Linked DNA regions of Oryzias latipes. The protein of the gene in region 2 purifies or fractionates together with the protein of the main gene of each other region. This does not show direct contact. Links are inferred from orthologs where the notes say so. Each region holds a gene or a part of one and is shown on either strand. Other genes may lie near its edges.

Region 1 (3,752 bases), on a different chromosome or scaffold from region 2:
CTCACCCTCAATAATCTCAAAAACATCACAAGAACACATTATTGTTTAAACAACCTTCACTAAAATCCCTAATGTCAGTCGTAGACGCGTCCTTAGCTCCTCGCTTTAGGACTACAACTGTTATACCAGTAGTTCAGAAAAATATTAAGAGCAAATTCTGAAACAAAACTCATAGCAAAAATCATAAGAATTATGGTGAAGTCGACCACACCCACAACGGGAGCCTCCAGCAGGTCAACCACGGGCTTTGCGCCTATTATTGTCGTTGAGATTGACTCAAACAAAAGAAACAAACAGTTCCTACTGGTTAATATTTGAAACTTACCCAACATTTTGCTTTGTAACATTTGTGAATAAGTAGGAAGAAGAAAACAGACTGGTGATATTGTGACAAACACAAACAGATCATGTCTATGAGACTTTTTCTACTTCTAATTGCAGCTCATCCTATAGTTTTCATGAGCAGATGAGGTTAGAGCCCGGGCTGCTTAGACTTCTTTGCTTATGTAGAACAAAAAGCACGAAAAGACTTGGAACGAAGATCTCCTGTTTTTTTTTTTTTTAAATCTAACAAGCTTCCATAGTAACGCCATCATAACCCATTTTAAAAAGTTCTCTCTCAAAGTCGGAATCTCCTGAATGAGTAGTATTGGATTTTGCGTCACCCCCACATTGTATAAGCTTTCTCTATAAACAGTTATGTAAATGACAGCAATATTGTTTTTGCAATTTTGACTGTGAATCTGTTTGCTGTACTGGAGTTTGTCAGTCAATGATTGTAAGGTACAAACACTAGATGGGATCAGCCCCAAAATCATAATCAGGTTGAGATTTGTGTCTGCAAATACTTGTTTGGGATGAGATCAGGTTAGCCAGAATTACCTGAGATGTGACTGGATTTCCACCTCTCGTCTCAACTGATGCTCCACCCCAGCCCTCTCCAGTTGCTTCTTGAAAAGAACCTTCAGAGCCAAGATGAACTTGGTCTGTCGCTCTCGGGCGAGGTAGACGTTGCCGAACTTTCCCTTTCCTAAAGGACGACCAATGTCAAAGTCTTCTAGGCTCCATCGCTTCCTGTATGAGCACAACAGTCTGGTTACAGCCTTCCAGAGAACATTTTCAGGCTTATACATGCATGATAAAAAATAGTCTGTACTTGACATACTTGGATGTAGAGCCCTGCTCAGTTCTTGAGAGCTTGCCTGATAAAATATAATATATATGTATAAATAACTTATTTTTAAACGTGAGAAATGTGTTTAATTCAGTGGCATAACCTACTCTGTTGCTTGTCTGCTTTTATGGGTTCCGACGGTGGCTTGGCCAAATCTGGATTTGCACCGAGAACCTGAGTCTTTGGTTGGTTTTGCTGGGACGTAGGTTTAGACGGTGGAGCATGATGTGCATTCAGAGTAGCTGGATTCACATTCTGATCGCCAGAATGTGAGGACTTGTTGGTAAAAGCGACTTGAGATACCGGTTTCTGATGACTAACAGGTCGCTGGATACGCTGAGGTCCATTTGACACACTGAGAACTCGCTGATGCGAGGTGGGTGTGACTATTGCCTTGGGAACCATTTGATGCTGTTGAGACACAGGAATTCGTCGTGGTCCATCACTGCCGGACTGCAATTAAGAGACCAGCAAATAGAAATTTTAACATTTAATTCAAGGAAATGCAGCTTTACATATTGCTACATCAGTATTACTTTCTAACCTATATTACCATTAGGGGTTGTAGATTCATAGTTCATTCTTGTTTGATTTGAATGATTCGATCTGTTTCACTGACCTACAATGGATCCCAGACATCTTTAACCAAAATTCAACCAGTGTGACTCAGAGATACACATAAAAATAATATATATGGAACAGTATTAGAAGGTTCTATCACACCGTATAATCATGTTTTTGCTAAATCCAAAGTGTTTCCACACATTTTGTAATGATGGCTTGATCACGTGCGTTGTCCGCTGTGATGTCACTTGGTCATTTATATTTCTCAATCCAAATGGTATTTTCCAACATTGAATATAAATCAATCCCTAATTACTATACTATATATGAAAATGCAGTGAAGGGCATAAAAAAGTTAGACATTTAAACTTAAAAAAAGAAAATCAGTCTGACTTCACCTGCTTTATTTCAGGCTTTTGCAGTTTCACACTCTTTGTCACCTTGAGTGAGGGAGAAGGATCCATTTCCTGAAGGAAAAAGTTTATATTATTATAAGTATATAATTCAAATAGCGTATCAGATGAAAACACGAGGAAATTATAGGCTTAGGTCCGCAATGCTAACTGTAGTACTTACACAGACAATGATCAAATATAATCTTAGTGAACAAACTATGCACGTAAAGGTAAAACATTTATAAAAGTAAATACTTTAAGTCAAGTTAAAAGAGCTGATGTTCTCTTCTCCAGAGGCTAGCTAACGTTAATGAACAAGTGCTTCTGTTAGCTTAGCAACTATCATACAAACTATTTTTAATGCAACGTCTGACATAACTTACCCAAATGTACTACTGCACAATGATATACAGCAACCACGGCACGTTAAAATATCCAGAATTAATCAGTCCAATACATTCAAGAAGAAAAAAACCATGCCCACGTAGATGCTACGAAAGCTAGCTAACGAAAGATAATTCCTTTTGTCTAAATATAAACGCAAAGTCCAGTGAAACGTTACGAACAGACAACTTGTTTGGACTGAAAGCAAATAAATATATGCGGCAAAACTAGTTCAAAACACCTAAAAGGTTTAAACTACAGAGATGTCTGTGACCACACGATTCTTTTCCTGAAACGCTGATTAGAAATTTCAAACGTCCCTGTTTTAACCTTTAAAAAAAATCAGCTGGTCTGATTGGCTGACAGAATGCCCAATTTCGGTTTCCTATTGGCTAATACAATGTATCGAATGGGCGGCAGGAACGTCATGGGTAATTGGAGTTCCAAAGCACTAGATGGCAGAGCGCAGGTTCAGTTCGGTCAGTTTAAACAATTTACGAAAACAAACAAATAAACGCAAAAAAGATAAAATTAAAACTATCTCAAAACGGTAATAGCTATTTAGAAAGAAAAAAACACGAGGGGAGAAGTTTAACAGACCAAAGTAAATGGTTGGTCAAGCTCATTCTGCGCCAAAAAAAAGGGAGGGGGGGGGGGGGTTATAATTCAACACCCGTCCAAGGTTTTCTTTGGTTACTCACATAAAATTGATTAGGATAATGATGACGCATGGGCTAACTAAATACTTTTTTATTTTGTTTTTTAAGACACTTGCGGCCCCTTGTGTTTATAATGAGTAACTACATCTCCCCCATTCTTGAGGCCTTCAGATGAACGAATATAATTTGATTTTTAATTCAAAAGTACCCAACTAGCTCACAAAAATTAGTTTAGTCTCTATTAGTTTAGTCTCTCTTTTCCATAATAGAAAACGTCTTTCAATAAGTGGTTAAAATTTTTAGTCCCAAGTGTTTGTTTTCTCAGTTATATTTTATTATGAAAATATTTAAAGCAAAACCCACAGAACTCTCATGGAAAATAAAATATTGAGGGGAAGCTTTTAAGTTAAAATATTTTACTTTTATTCTTATATTCATTTTTTTTCTCCTGTTCACAGGTAACATTTCTTTAGTTGTACATTCTTTTTTGATGTAAAGACTAGCAAGAAATAAACAGTTTTTCTAAATAAATACATTCTTTAAAGTTTTAGAAATATTGTATCAAAGAAGGCGTCT
Region 2 (3,752 bases):
TCCATCCAGTGTTTACATGATCGCACCGCGTGGTACATCTGAGCCCCTCCCTCTCGCAGAGCGTGATGGCGTCACTCCAACGTAAGCTGTCGGGCTGGAGAATTCGCGGCGATGGCGACGACGACTCCGAGCTGGAAGGGGATGCCGTGAAGCTAGCGTCGGCTCGGATATGACTACTGCCTATTTGATGGAGATTGGCTTGCTGTTCTGTTACTGCATGGGCTTCGGATGACTGCTTCGCCTCGTACTCGACGTCGCTCCGTTCTCTGGTGAGTCCGCCGGCAGGAGCGCGTCTCTGTGTGTTTTGACAGAGGCCTCCGCTCTGGGGTCCGCCCTCCATCTCATAACAACAAAAACAGTTGCAGAGCCGCGCTAGCACAACCGGCTAATGCTAACTAGTCAGCTTACTGGCTAGACCGTGGAAAAGCTTTTAATGCCAAATACCGACAGCTAAGAGATTGCCACACCACATGGACGTGTTTATTAGGACTGTTTGCAGCCTAAACGAACCCTTTGACCAAGTCTTAGGCCGTTAACAGTACTTTTCCAGGAGACTGTTTGTTCGTGGATGTTAAGGCGCTAAAATGTTGACTGCCGATGTGAACCCTTAACAAATACATTTAAATAAAAAAGTGGAAGAGCTTTAATATTAGTCACTGCATGTTACTCTTCGTACTTTGATGCTTCTGGCGTCAGTTAAAAATAAAAAGTAACCCAAAGGAAATTCGTGTTTATCTTAGCGTTAGCCTGCAAGTCTTAATATTGCGTATTATTTTCAACACATATTCACATTATTATTGTCAAATGCATACTATTGGCCTTGCAGTGCAACTTTAAGCTAACAAACCCAATTTTTAGACTTTTTAGAGCGCAGCTGTTTATATGGGGGTCGCGCTGCTTACCTACCTAGCCTCGTTTTGCTGCATTTTTACTATCCACGTCAGTGAATATTAAACCTAAACGAAAAGTTAGTCTGTACTGCCAAAGCCCGCAGTGCATGCCGGTCTATCACGGGACACGAGTAGGGTTAAGGCTCTAACGGGCTAAGCCGTCCGTGCGTGATTGAGTGAACTCGCAGCCAGACTTGATCCGTGGGTCATGAGCCTGCTGTCGTAAACAGAGCCGTGCGCTGGCAAGATATACTTTATCAGGTAGCAGCAGCAGCAGGAAAAGCAGGGTGGCCCAGTCAGTTTTGACCCTCCTTGGCCTCCATACACAACACTGAAAGACCAAGCTAAGCAAAAAAAAAAAAAAAAAGCCTTATTGTTTCTTATATTTTTCCATATAAGTATTTGGTTTTTTTTGCATATGCATCTGCACTGTTACTCAGGTGCGCTGAAACCACTGATTCAGTGACCCCCTTGGATCAGATTTCAGCATCTCCAAGAGTGGCCGACGTTTTTTAACCGTTTATTGGTCAGTTATATCTCTTTTTATTTGCCTGCCATGGCTGCTGCTCAGCTGGGACATGTAACAGCTTGCTTCTTCTAAAATGAGATGTTTAATCTTACCTGTTGAACTTATTAACAATGTAAGTGGCTGATTTTATACTTATATTTATGTCCCACCTAAAAGAAATCATTAGGAGTTCTAAATATGTGCATGCATTTTTTTTTTTTACTTTTGTTTTTACAGTTCCCATCAACCTGAAGTAAGTGCCTAAACTGATGTGGAGTTACAGCTGGCACTTTTCAATTTTGCATATGATTTTGCATTATATATCAGCTGGAATGCAAAGTGACCACAGACAATATCATTTAAAAAAAATATATCATTAAAGTGTCTGTAGGGCTAGTCAGTTTCATGTGTATATATGTCAAGAACAACTTTGCGTGATCAAGAGCAATGTTTGATGGTAAAAATATGTTATTTTTTATTTTGCAGATGTTCTTGTCCTACTTTGAATTTCCAAACAGGATCATCTTTGCTTAGTGATTGTCTGTGGGTAAGTCAGAAACTGCCATCATGTGAAGTTACTGTTTTCACCACAATTTCACACGTGATGTAAATGTTTACACAGAGGTTGTACTAGAAGGTTATATCTGCTGTTGTAAAGCCTTTTTATATAGAAAGTAAATGCTGTTAAATATGTAAAAAATATTATGCAAAAGGTCAGCAGATACAAAATGACTTCAATGGAAGACCTTCTTGAATTCTGAGTTATCACAGAACCAATGCATTGAGCAGAGTTTGCTTAGGTTGTTGCTGTGTTTTCTATTTTTTATGATCACTTTTCTCACTGACTTTAGTTTTTCTGAGCAGTGTGCTCTAATACAGACATTTATCCAGTCGTGAGTCAGGTATATCACTGGGCCTAAACATGTTTTACTTGAAATTAGTTTCTTTTGTTTCTGCTTTACATTTTTCAAATAATTATAGTCTTTTGACGGACTGTAAAACGCCTTGATTCTTATTAATTTCTTGTTTATTTTTAAAATTTGGTTCAACTTTAAACATAAAGAAAATCTATTTTAACTTAGATTTATGTATTAATGTGGGATTCACGGAAGGTTAACTCATCACTGTCTGAATCTAATTTAAGTCACCAAATGTCGAAATAAAAACCAACTTCTGGTTGCTGTCGAAGCGGAAGTGTCTACGGCCTCAGAGACTCAAAGATTCTTGTCTCGCAGAACGACTTCTCGAACACGTTTAACATCTTATCTTGACTAACCTGCATTTGTTTGCACTGAAGCCACTTTCCATTCATTTTAACCTAAATTTGATTTCAAATTCTTGGTCTTATTTGTGGTTGAGAAATAAACTTGCCTGGATACACCACAATCTTATCCTGAGTAGCTGCTGGTTTGTTGCAGTTTCAGAAGGTCCCTGGTGGTCCTTGAATGTTTGCTGTTAGTGACGACTTCCCTAAAAGTAAATCTTTATGTTCTGTTGGCGAATTTTATTATGTTTTACGTACAGCTGTTATTTAAATAAATGAGGTTGATCTCTGTTCTTTGTTTGTTAGATCTGTGAATACAGATGCTTTTCCCAGGTGACCTCCAGTTTTGCCTCCACTCAGAATTTAAAATGCATTGATCCGTCAGTATTCTTAGGAGCCAGAAAAAAAGCCTCTTGATATGTGTGTCAATATAATCAGTCAGTGTCGCATTCTCAGCATCAGGCTAGTATTGGATTTTTGAAACCTCAACTCAGACTAGATGGTGAAAAGGTGATTTAAGGATTGTGGATAAAGATCAAATTGGGTAATGCTACAGTATCTGTGCTTTTCTCTAATAGTTTAAACATTTTGTGCAAACAATTACTGTAAGTAATTTTATTTTTGTGTTTTGTTTTTTAAAGACTGATTTAGATCAGCATCTGTTGTTGGGTGACCCACACTCCTTCCCAGGGGCCATGGTAAAGTATCCACTTTTCTATACTTTGGAATAATGACTTCTGTGTTTCTTGATCAATGTGCTGTCTGCAAAATCGGACTTCTAAATCAACTGACCTTAAACCAGTTTTAATCAGCACTGTTTATCTGGAAGTAGACTGTTGCGTCACATCCAACAGTGGTAAAGGTCCTTTAAGGTTGCTGTGAAAGCAAGATAACTTTCAGTTTCTCCTGTAAGGTTGTAATTTCTGTGATTACATTGTGACACGAGCCCTGATCTAGAACTTTTTCATGAAATCCCAGCTTGTGCAAGAGTTTGTAGTCTCTTTAGGCTGTTCTGTGGTGTCAGCTGTTTGTTACCTCTGCTTTTGCTAAACCATCATCCCACAGGATGTGTGGCCAACAACTATTGTGT
Region 3 (3,752 bases), on a different chromosome or scaffold from region 2:
AGGGGTTTTCTGTAAGAAGGACTGACTAAAACTGCAGAAAGTTTAGGTAGTTCCTGCAGGCGGCTGCTCTCACCTTGCCGAATGACCGCCTTCTCTGAAGGCTTGGCAGAGATGATGCTGTTGAGCTGCTGCAGCATGTCCTTCAGGTAACATTCTTCTGGCTCCGCCTCTCTGCACACAAAATTCCCATTTATCATTTTTGATCAAACTACGACGCATGTTTTAGACCTTAGTGTGATGTCTCACAGTGGAGCAGGCTCGTCTTTCATGTCCACCTTCTCTGTGCCGGCTGAGAAAAAAAATATATAAAAAAAACCTCCATCAATATCACTGTTGATTAACTGCAGACTTTCATTATCAGTGCACCAGTTTTGGGCAATTGTTGGGTTTGTTACCTTTGTTGTTTATGGCAGTCAGGGGGCGCCTCTGGCTGAGCTCTGCAGCCATGGAGGGGGCAATGGAGAACCGCGGGGGCACAGTGAGACAAGTGGTGGGCAGCCGCAGGGGGACGTATCCCGATGTGAAGAACTCATCCGTCTGCAGGTCAGTGATGGTGGGCCTCTGGGCAGGATCGGCATGCAGCATCCTCTTGATGAGAGCCGAGGCTGACGGGTTGATTTGCTGCAGCATTCAAGTGAAGTGACGGTAAACTTAAGATTTTCTTTCACCAACTATTACGTACATTTAGGGATTAACGTCAGCTCTTCTCACCCAGGGGATGGTGTAATTGTTCTTCTTGATCCGGTTGTATGTGTCTTTCAGGCATGAGGTTTCAAACGGAGGCTTGCCGACTAACAAAGTGTACCTATGAGAGGATACAGGAAGGAAGTTGAGTATCCAGAATCCTGTGGAATGACACTCTTCCCCACTCCACTGTGGGTTTACACACTTACAATATGCACCCAAGTGACCAGACATCCACTTCATAGCTGTGGCCTTTCTTGCACAGCACTTCCGGAGCGATATAGTTGGGCGTTCCACACAAGGTCTTCTTCCGTTCACCATCAAACTCAATCTTTGTGGCCAAACCAAAGTCACCTAGCAAAAAAGGAAAGAAAGAAATGATCAGCGTTTAATCTGAGTAAAGGATATTAAGAAGCCAAATATGGGTGTTAACAAATTGGAGCTGGAAGTTCTCAACAAGGAAGTTATGGGAGCATATCAAGAACATGGGTGTGCCCGTTTCTTTGTCACTACACCGACAGGTTTCCTGCTCTCCATACCTATCTTGACTTCCATGTCGTCGTTGAGGAAGATGTTCCCCAGTTTCAGGTCTCTGTGGATGACCTTGTTGCTGTGCAGATAATGGACCCCTTTCAGCAGCTGGGTCATGTAGTAGCGAGCCTCCGGCTCCGTGACCGCCTTCCTGCGCTTGTGCAACTCCAACAGGGACTTGAAAAAGGACAACAGTTCTGGTGAGCGGCTGAACTCAGTGGAGGAAAATGGAGGCTGGGAGAGCATGAACAAGCTGGATGAAGTGAAGTGGCACCTCAAGAAGTGTTAAAAACAACACGTGGAACAACACAAAGGGGAAAAAGAATTTAGATATCTCTATAGTTTTAAATTACAAAAAGTTACTGGTTTAGGATAAGTAACAGTGATTTAAAGCAGTGATCAGGGGATTTGAGTCTCCCAGCACTATGCCAAAGGAGGGGGGGGGGGGGGGGTAACGGAAGAGGCCACATTGTTAACCGTTGGCCTTCATGTATTTTCATTTAGAGTTCCCAAAATCCTCACCCTTCTCCTGCAGATCTCCAGGACCACATAGACAAAGTCGTCGTCCTCAAAGAAGCCGTGGAAGCCCACGATGTTAGCATGATTGAGGCTCTTGTGAATGGAGATTTCCGAGCTCATCTTCTCCCTTTGGTGCTGCTTCAGGATCAACGACTTGGGCACTATTTTGCCAGCGAAAACCTGCTTGGTCTCCATGTCTGTAATTTCGAAGCATTTGGCGAAGCCCCCCTTGCCGAGGAACCTGCCCTTGGAGTATCTCCTCAGGGTGCGGGGATCCACCAAAACCTCTGGGATTTCTTTCAGAGGAGCCGATTTTGGGTCGACGTGTCCGGACGGCTGCGCCGGCTTTGCGATAGCAGCACTCATGGTGTACTTTAAAAGTGCTCTTTCCGCGTTAATAAAACTCCAAAGAAGTCGAAACGCAAAAGTTATTAAACAAGGGCTAAAGTGTTGTTTAACCCTCCAACTCAACCGACGTTAGTTTAGCCTTCGAAGCTAACTTTTTCTACGCCTCAATTTACAGCAAATACTAACAAACGATCTAAACCGCAAACGTTGACTAACATTTAAAGGCCGACAGGTCCCAAGATTAAATAAATTAATTAAAAAAAAAACCGGAGGCAGAATTCTTGCGCAGACTTCCCCGGCAGCGGTTGCCTTGTCCCGTTCTGCCTTTTCGATAACAAGTGTCTCGTACAAATTTAAAATGCTGGCTCGGTCGTTTTGGCGATCGTTGATTGGTCTGCTAGATTTGAATTCCACAGCGTCACAGCAAAGCATCTTGGGAACATGTGTACAAAAATAGCCAATCAGGAGTAGAGTAGAAGGCCTCCAACAATCTGATTGGCTGAAAGGCTGTTTTTGTTTCCTCGAGAAAGACGGATGGGAAATGTAGTCGGGAAAAGGATTTAATTTCGAAAGTGTTTTGTTATTAGCGTTATCCGAATTATGGCCACTCCTGATCCAATATCGATCATTTAGGTTCATGTTATTAGTTGAACACTAATATTACATGAATGCAGAGGATCATATGAAGTTTATTTAATCTTTGTTAGACTATGAGTTTTTTATGAATTTGTCATTTTCACTTTTTGGATGGATTTTTATTGACAGACATTGTTGGTTCAGGTTATACACTTTTATTTTTATTGATTGCCATGCTGACTGTGTACACTCATCTTGCGCCACACTTCCTTGAAAAACTTTCAACTTTTCATAAATTGAGAAACATGTGAGTGTTTGCTTTCTTCTCATGTTTTCTTTTAATTTCTACTCTGTTAGAACAACCATTAAATACTGTTTCAAACCAAATTCTCAGACAGTGCTATCGGCATTCTAAGTGTATCATTGTAATCATTGAAAAGCCACAAATGCCCTCTGTAGATACCAAAAGGAGTTCATTCAGTAATTGCAGTGGTTGAATAATTTTCAGGTCTAGAAATGTCCACTATGGGGACAAGTTTTTATTGCCGGTAGTGAGGAGGATATTTTTCACTCTAGATTGGTTGAAATTCAAAAAGGATTTTGAGCAAAAAAGCCTCAGGGTTTAACTTGAAAGATTATTTATGCTGGAAAGCATAAAATGGTGAGAAGCAGTAAAATATAGTGTAACAAAAGCAATATGAGAAAGTAAACCTGCAGTAATGGTTTAATCTGTCTTGCCACACTAAAAAAAAGTCACATCGTTTTTGTGATACCAAGATTATTGTTTATTTGACAAGATGTTAACATGATGAAATTAAGGACTTTCACTTTCTGATCATGATGGTTAACCTGTTGATGCCTATACTTAAATAATAACTCCAGAATACATGAAGATTCCCAATTTTTTACATTTGGATATTGACTGTACTGTTTGGTTTCAACATGCCAAGCTAAAAAAAAAAAAAAAAGTTGTTTTTCCCCTAAGGTTTTCATTTCTTTTTTTCTTTATCCACCACTGCATGGTAGTTGGGGTAACCAGTTAATAGATTGCTGGTTGCTGGCTGATCAACATTTTGTGGTAAATTAATTTGGGT

What was found. Proteins that work in one complex are often made in the same cells at the same time.
Region 1: the proteins of mtmr3 (region 2) and aurka purify together in Homo sapiens (affinity purification with mass spectrometry; 3 studies listed by BioGRID and IntAct, counting the BioPlex papers as one, with this or other methods). This does not show direct contact. The link is inferred for Oryzias latipes from reciprocal best matches to the Homo sapiens genes MTMR3 and AURKA.
Region 3: the proteins of mtmr3 (region 2) and plk1 purify together in Homo sapiens (affinity purification with mass spectrometry; 4 studies listed by BioGRID and IntAct, with this or other methods). This does not show direct contact. The link is inferred for Oryzias latipes from reciprocal best matches to the Homo sapiens genes MTMR3 and PLK1.

The regions. Positions count from the first base shown.
Region 1 is NC_019863.2:11,351,723-11,355,474, forward strand, and holds the start of aurka (aurora kinase A), read right to left. Parts: upstream 2,866-3,752; 5' UTR 2,517-2,865; intron 2,206-2,516; 5' UTR 2,203-2,205; coding exon 2,137-2,202; intron 1,628-2,136; coding exon 1,282-1,627; intron 1,203-1,281; coding exon 1,166-1,202; intron 1,075-1,165; coding exon 883-1,074; intron 1-882. UniProt on the Homo sapiens protein: Mitotic serine/threonine kinase that contributes to the regulation of cell cycle progression.
Region 2 is NC_019867.2:25,608,848-25,612,599, forward strand, and holds the start of mtmr3 (myotubularin-related protein 3), read left to right. Parts: upstream 1-1,539; 5' UTR 1,540-1,559; coding exon 1,560-1,651; intron 1,652-1,884; coding exon 1,885-1,945; intron 1,946-3,303; coding exon 3,304-3,360; intron 3,361-3,752. UniProt on the Homo sapiens protein: Lipid phosphatase that specifically dephosphorylates the D-3 position of phosphatidylinositol 3-phosphate and phosphatidylinositol 3,5-bisphosphate, generating phosphatidylinositol and phosphatidylinositol 5-phosphate.
Region 3 is NC_019859.2:22,726,666-22,730,417, forward strand, and holds the start of plk1 (serine/threonine-protein kinase PLK1), read right to left. Parts: upstream 2,503-3,752; 5' UTR 2,101-2,502; coding exon 1,738-2,100; intron 1,393-1,737; coding exon 1,224-1,392; intron 1,039-1,223; coding exon 894-1,038; intron 806-893; coding exon 712-805; intron 622-711; coding exon 396-621; intron 290-395; coding exon 247-289; intron 172-246; coding exon 74-171; intron 1-73. UniProt on the Homo sapiens protein: Serine/threonine-protein kinase that performs several important functions throughout M phase of the cell cycle, including the regulation of centrosome maturation and spindle assembly, the removal of cohesins from chromosome arms, the inactivation of anaphase-promoting complex/cyclosome (APC/C) inhibitors, and the regulation of mitotic exit and cytokinesis.